2 linked regions of the Xenopus tropicalis genome follow. The protein of the gene in region 1 purifies or fractionates together with the protein of each later gene. This does not show direct contact. Links are inferred from orthologs where the notes say so. Each region holds a gene or a part of one and is shown on either strand. Other genes may lie near its edges.

Evidence for each region. The genes of interacting proteins can lie anywhere in the genome.
Region 2: the proteins of asb7 (region 1) and cul5 purify together in Homo sapiens (affinity purification with mass spectrometry; 6 studies listed by BioGRID and IntAct, counting the BioPlex papers as one, with this or other methods). This does not show direct contact. The link is inferred for Xenopus tropicalis from reciprocal best matches to the Homo sapiens genes ASB7 and CUL5.

The regions. Positions count from the first base shown.
Region 1 is NC_030679.2:115,577,095-115,580,746, forward strand, and holds part of asb7 (ankyrin repeat and SOCS box protein 7), read left to right. Parts: intron 1-3,158; coding exon 3,159-3,652. UniProt on the Homo sapiens protein: Probable substrate-recognition component of a SCF-like ECS (Elongin-Cullin-SOCS-box protein) E3 ubiquitin-protein ligase complex which mediates the ubiquitination and subsequent proteasomal degradation of target proteins.
Region 2 is NC_030678.2:159,948,303-159,951,954, forward strand, and holds part of cul5 (cullin-5), read right to left. Parts: coding exon 3,589-3,652; intron 3,391-3,588; coding exon 3,267-3,390; intron 2,389-3,266; coding exon 2,213-2,388; intron 1,666-2,212; coding exon 1,504-1,665; intron 1,246-1,503; coding exon 1,127-1,245; intron 313-1,126; coding exon 189-312; intron 1-188. UniProt on the Homo sapiens protein: Core component of multiple cullin-5-RING E3 ubiquitin-protein ligase complexes (ECS complexes, also named CRL5 complexes), which mediate the ubiquitination and subsequent proteasomal degradation of target proteins.

The sequences.
Region 1 (3,652 bases):
GTACATTAGATATGAGAGAGCAGCTTTTGCTGTCTGCTGTCCATTTCTGCAGTGGATCGGGGGGTGTTCCCTGTAAATAAAACAAAATGTTCTAAGAGACACTTGATATATGATTTGTTGCTTGGAAATGAGACAGGCCTCAGAGGAGCGTGCTTAAAATCCTTACGCCTGTCGTGCCAGACCACAGGAAATCCGCTGATCGGCAGATGTTCCTACACATGCTTTCTCTTAAGAAGAAAATGAAAGCAATGAAGAGAAAATGTGGAGATGTGAGAAAGACATGTTGGGGTGGAAAGCCCCGTTGCAACAACTCGTGTACTAGAATATTTCATCTTCTGCAGCTTGAGTTCTGGCTCTTAGGAGAAATCAATCAATCTTGTATGACATCCAGTTAGACTCTATAGGGACCATTTACTGTCAGATTTTTTTTCCATTTGTATTTTAAGCGCTACAAGGCGCAGAAAAAAAGCCACAACTTTTCTGAGATTTACTATGCATCAAAACGGCTAAAAATCTGAATTTGTCAATTCACCAGCTAAAACTTGCCCAGATCATGTAGAAGTCAATGGCAGATGTCCCTTCCCTGGAGGATCCTTCTTTTGTTTCAAAACTTTAGAGGGTTTCAGATTTTTTATGCTGGTTTCTTGTGCAACAATTCAGAAAAGTTGCAGTTTTCATGCGATTAGTCAAAAAATTCAGAATTTTCACAACTTTTCTTCAACCTTTCCAGCATGGACATGTGTAGGCCTTTTCACCAGTGATTCCCTCTATTGCCAGAGGAAAAGCTTTTCAGGGAGCAGAGATGTATCGGTGGGTGACTAATCTCAGCATGGGGCTGCAAACATTGTTAGAAAATGTTACATTAAAGGAAATGTAACCTTTAAAAGAACTCAGAGTGCACTTCTAAGCATTTTTGATGATTCCAGGATATGAAGAAACCTGCTAATACTGTGTAACAACGGCACTTCCTGCTGGTCAGTAGAACTGTTCTGATGTTGATCTCTTGGAAAGACATGAGCAGAGCAGCATTAGAACAGTTCTCTGTTTTTCTTCTGACATGTTCTTCTGCCTATATCAAGGCTGGGAAACTGACCAGCAGACGGCACTAAGTTTATTATATTTGCAGTTTACATTTTTCTTCATGTCCTTGTGTAAAAAGTGCTTAAAAGTGCTTATGGGGAATAGATAACCAAAAAGGAAAGGTTATGGCCAATACAGGGCAAAGGAGCAACAAGTGCAACATTGTGTTTTCCTTAACAGAGAGGTGCCTTAAAATGTCAAGAGTCAACGTGTCTTTTAGGAGCAAGTATATTTCTATGTAGTTTCCATTTGGTTTATTTTTCCAAAGTTTCAGCAAACATTGGTACCTAATAGAATTGCTCTTTCCCTTGTCAATCCCCCATGTGATGAAATCATGCTCATGTGTACAAGGGATATTTGAACCATTCTGCCTGGTTTTAGGCAGGCAGTGACCATGTGAAATAAGTGCTTCCAAAGGGAATTCTGGTGAGTGCAATCTGTCCTCCATATAGATGCACTGGGGCTCGGGGCAGGAGAGCAAAAATATAGTTGGTGAAAGGATAGTTTGTTTTTCTGCTGACATGGTCAGTGATTGATATGAATCTCTTTAAGGTTTTTAGAGCATTTACCTGTACCCCAACCACTCAAATCTCTGTGCCTGTCCAAACAAACATTGTGTATGTGGATAAACCTTTACTGGGATAAAGGAGAATTTATGAAACTGGCCAGGGCTGCTTATTTTATTATTAATATCAAGTATATATAAAGCCTCAGCATATTCCCATGTGATGATTTTCGACATATCCCTGCACAATGCATTGTTTATAACACAACCTTCCAAAACCCAATGCTCTAAACCCCACAGTAAACATACATGCTACATTCTTTATAAGAAATGTGTTGTGCCGGGAGTATACCTAACTATATGCAGCCTCAGAGCAGGTACACTTCATATGTTCTTATTTCATTGATCTGTAACCTTACTGATATAAACTCTGCTATTTCCAATGCACTTTGTTTGGACGTAAAGGACATGTCAACCCCAAAAATGTTTTGTCTAATAAAAGAAAACTTAATTCTAATCAACTTTGCAATATACATTTATGACATATTTGTAATGGTTTTTGAGTTATTTGTATATATAATTGCTATTAAAAGCAGTGTTTGCCTGTCCTTTCTATTCTCTGCCCTGGCGGCTGTGGCGTTTGAAACAATCTAACAAACGTCAGCAGATTTAAGAGACCTGTCTAGCTGGAGGAGCCTGGCACTTGCAACATTGTTTAAAAAGTAACAACCAGGAGTTCATCAAATTCTGCTTTCTGTAGCAATTACATTTACAGATAACTTTTATAGCACTAAAAATTTTTAATTGATATTGCAAAGTTGCTTAGAATTATGTTTTTTTTTATTGGGCAAAACATTTTTTTGGGGTTGACATTTCGTTTACATTCACAATCTTCCAATATCCCCACCTACGAGTTGGGTGATATCGGGTTTATTAGATTGTTTGGCCCTGGGGCCAAGCTATTGAATTAGAATGTCGGGTATAGGCACAGTTGCCAATCCGACATAAAAACCAAACCTCCCTGAGTGAGATCTGGGCGATCTCTTAGACGGGCTGATAAGCCGCTGGATCGGTCTAAAGGACCAATGTCGGCAGCTAGAATCGGTCCGTGTATGGTCACCCCCATTCAGGGTGCATCTAGATGAAGGACAGACCACATTGCGCACAATTCTCTTCCTGAAGCACTTGTCACAATGACCCATGTGACCCAAGTCCAACACAGGTTTTATGTAATCCACATATAAATCTGTATTTTATGTTTTTGTTATTTCTCTTTTCATGTTGTTGTTCTCTTGTTGCCTATCCTATGCCATATCTTTAAAAATAGAATAACAAAAAAACTCTGAAAACCAATTAATGTAAAGTTGTCTTCCAAGCACTCCTGCAATTTACAGTTATTTTTTGTATTTCAAGTTTTTAAGATATTAGCAGTTTTAGCTATTATTATAATAAATTTGATACAACAGTGCCACCTGCTGTTCATTTTGTTATTATGGTTTTGCTTGGGATTTCTTCTGACTTTTTTTTTTAATACGAACTTGCAGTTTTATTCTTTTTGTTTTATTTTATGCAGCCGACCCCACAGTGAAAGATTTGATTGGTGGTTTTACAGCACTGCATTATGCCGCTATGCACGGACGAGCACGGATAGCCCGCCTCATGCTTGAATCGGAGTATCGCAGTGATATAATAAACGCTAAGAGCAATGATGGTTGGACGCCATTGCACGTGGCTGCTCACTACGGCAGGGACTCTTTTGTTAAGCTGCTACTTGAGTTCAAAGCTGAGGTTGATCCCCTGAGCGACAAAGGCACAACTCCTCTGCAACTTGCCATAATCCGGGAGCGCTCTAGCTGCGTAAAGATTCTCCTGGACCACAATGCCAATATTGATATTCAAAACGGGTTCCTGCTGCGCTATGCTGTTATAAAAAGCAATCACTCCTACTGCCGAATGTTCCTGCAGAGGGGGGCCGACACGAACTTAGGCAGACTGGAGGATGGTCAGACCCCCCTCCATCTGTCAGCCCTGAGAGATGATGTTCTTTGTGCGAGAATGTTGTACAGT
Region 2 (3,652 bases), on another chromosome or scaffold:
ATACTGGCAGAATCAGTCCAACTATCATAAAAGTCTATGGTGGGGTATTTTTTTCTGCTTTACTCCCCCCTTCCTATGAGCTAGTAAATAGCACAGGGAGCAAAACGTGCCAGCACCTCTGCCCTAAATGTCAGTGTTGGACATGGCTCCCTTTGTGACTCCCATCTAATAGCCAGGACATACTGTACCTGTGTCCTTAATATCCTTAGCTGCACAATGCCTTCATTCTCTTCTTCTCGCATCCTTTCCGTGGTCAGCTGCAAGCGGCCGATTAAGTTGATCTTACCCCGTTTCTGAACCTTTCCATTTTTTCTAGGATTAGAACACACAGTCATGATGAAGTGATAAAACAGTAGCACTTAGTGATTCATTGGGAGCACCTTCCTGTCTAACTGTGCCAGATTGTGGGTAAAGGGAAGAGTGGGGGATTCCAATTATTGTGCTAGTGCAAAAGCACGTTTTACCACCACTTTCCTGGACATTCCCATTATAGGCCACAAATGACTGACAAAGCCAAAGGTAACATAAGGCCATGGAGCCACAAAGTCACCACTCAAGAGTTTCTGCTTGTAAGGGTTTGATCACATTTAGGGAGGGCTAGGCAGGAGATAAGGTTATGGCCAACCTGCCTATTGAAGCTGGCAATATTGGTCCCTTGGACTGATTCTGCAGCTTAAAAAATTCAGTCTGATTGGGGACCGCATCGGCTCGCCTATTCCAGTCATTATAATTCGATCGCTTGGCCCCAGGGCCAAACAACCAAATTAGCCTAAATTCCCCGATGTTGCCCATCCGTAGGTGGGGATATCGGGAGAAGAGCCACTCGCTTGGCGACCTTGCCAGGCGAGCAGATCTTTATGTGTATGGCCACCTTAAGAACAAGAGAAGCTTTTACAGAGCTGAACCTGGCAGATTGACACAGAAGCTAGGGGAAACAGTTTATAATGTACCTATGGATATCTGCATTAGACAAAATAAAGGTAAAGTTGCCCTGTAAATGAAAGCCGGAGCAGTGCAAGTAGAATGCTTATAGATCCACCCAAGGTGCACAGACATTCAGCAGTGTTTAGTGAAGCAGCTATTAAACAAGATACCAAGCAGCATTAAACATGTAAACATGACTTACATTAGGCTGAACTCCTGATTTACAGAGAAGAGGGTACCCTCTGTGAAGTCTTTTGGGGAATTTACCGTCGGTTCATAGGATAATACTTGGCGTTTCAGCTTTGGAAATGCTACAAGAGACTAAACAGAGAAAATGAAACAATTGTAAGCAGTTATGCCAAGGGCAACCCAAAATCTAGTCAGCCTTGGAGTGCCTCTGCCCCTATACAGTCTGCAATTTACTGAACAGGCCCCCAGGTGATTAAGAACCAAACACTTGGATCCCACATAGAACACGTACATGGCAATGATTTGGCTGGCTTACCATGCAACAACTCACAGCCATGCAGGTTCAGTTTAGCCAATGACACACACCGATACTAACACATTTACACTTACCCACAGAGTTCTCCTAAGCTCAGCATCAGGTAACTCTGTTGCCAGTTTAAGATTTTCAAAGCTGATTTTTTCTCTCGGCCTTTGGTTCCAAGCAAACAGAACTGCCAGCTGGAAAGTGGTAACTTCCAAGTCGTACTGGCCAACCTCATTCTTAAATGTTATCTGTAAAACAGTGGCGTGCCATCCAGTTCAACATTACAGGACTGGTCCATTATACAAAGAGAGAGAGAGATTCTGAAAAAGCACCAAAAACTTTGCAATAACAAATTACACCCTAATGATCTGGCTGACTACTTTGAGACTCAAATAAAATGTAACAGTAGTTGCCTGTCCTCAGGCTGCCTTTAGCCTGCTTCCTCCCAATCCCACAATTCCCTGCACATGTGATGTCAATAAGGAAAGGAAAATCACAGTGCAATGCATTGTGGGTTATGTAGTTCCTGCAAGCTGTGGAGAAGTTGTTACCATTTGTAACGTCAATGTTTTAGCCCCTCCTCCCCTGCCAGGATTTCAAATGATGCAGAAAGAAAGAACTTTTTTGCAGCTGGATTTGAACATAAAAAATTGAATTTATTCATAATTTTTAAAGGAACCGATTACAGTGATTTACTAGGAATTTCTGTGTTTTTTTTCTTTTTTTAAGTGCTTTATACATGGAAAGCCCTTAGCAACTCAATTCACTAATATGCCGTGCAGAGCAGATACTCACAATGCCATTGGACATAAGATGGTGCCAGTGAAGCTTTCTGCCGCTGTGGTTTTTCTTGTAAAACTCCTCTACTTCAGGAATGAGGTCCTCGAGCTCAGTGGGAAGGGACACAAATACCTTTTCCGAGCTCCGTGACCAAGCACCGGCATTCAAAATTTTAATATTCACAGAGTCAGCTGGCCATAATTAAAAAAAAAAAAAAAAGCAGGTAAATAAAATGCACTGTTGAAGAAGAAGATAGTTAATTAATTTACTCTATCCAGATAAATACCCCGTATAAAGAACTTTTAGTCCTAGTAAGGACTAGACATGTGAAAAGTGCCACACACTGTCAATTTAACAAAAAACCCCCAATACAAGTGCTTACCAGCCTGAAAATGAGGTGTTTTTGGTCCTGATTATGGAAGTGGAAGTAAGGGCAAAAAATAAACAATGGTCATATTTATAATGAGGGTGGGCTCAGCGAGTAGCACTTCGGCCTTACTGGGGTGGGGGCCTTATTTTGATTCCGGCTTGGGCACCATATTCTCCCCATGGGTTTCCTCCATTTATAGAAGGGCCACCACACCAGGATACCCAAGGGAAAATCTCATTTATCGACCCACCCCCCTTCCATGTCGCAACTCTCTCTCCCTTACTCAGCAAGTCTCTTTTTCTTAACATTCTCACCTATTTTCTGGTGCTGCCACTGATCTCTGCTCCACCATTCAGTCAATGGCACAGCTCCTCACTCAGCATACCTGACCCCCAGGGCTGAAGGTAGTGGAGGCAGCAGAGGTATATGCCTAGGGTTCTAGCTCCCCCTCTCAGCTGTGACCTAGGCACGTGCCCCTTCTGCCTACCCCTAGTTCTGGTTTCCTCCCACACCCACAAAAAAAAAAAAAAAAAAAAGAACAGGCAGGTCTTTTGGCTCCTGATAAAACTGATCCTAGTGTCCTAGGGGCATGGCCTTATATGAATGGTATAATCTCTGTAAAGCACTGCAGAAAAGTGTCAGCACAATATAAATACCAGGAAATAATAACAATTGTTTTAAACCCAATTCCAAACTTACCTGGCAGGGCTAATTTATTATTTTTATGCATTTCTTTGAAAGCCTGGTTTAAGTCTTCTGATACTTTGATGTCCTGGAACATTCTGGCTAGTTTATTTACATAATCAGCTGGCATGCCCACCTCCTAAAAGATATACACAACAGAACAAAGAAATGTAGTATGTTACACAGTGAAAGATTCTTGCCCTACAGATATTTACTTTACCAGCGACTAGCTACCTGCAATCAGTCTACTATGGGTTTCCCTAAACTTGCTCCATTTACAGTGCCCACTGTTTGGGCACTGTCTAATGTCAGTTTGAACAGCTCAAGTGATAGTTACCCTGAGCCACTCCACCATGTTTTCTTCTATTTCACTGTCGGCGGAGATATCTAAAATGAGGCGG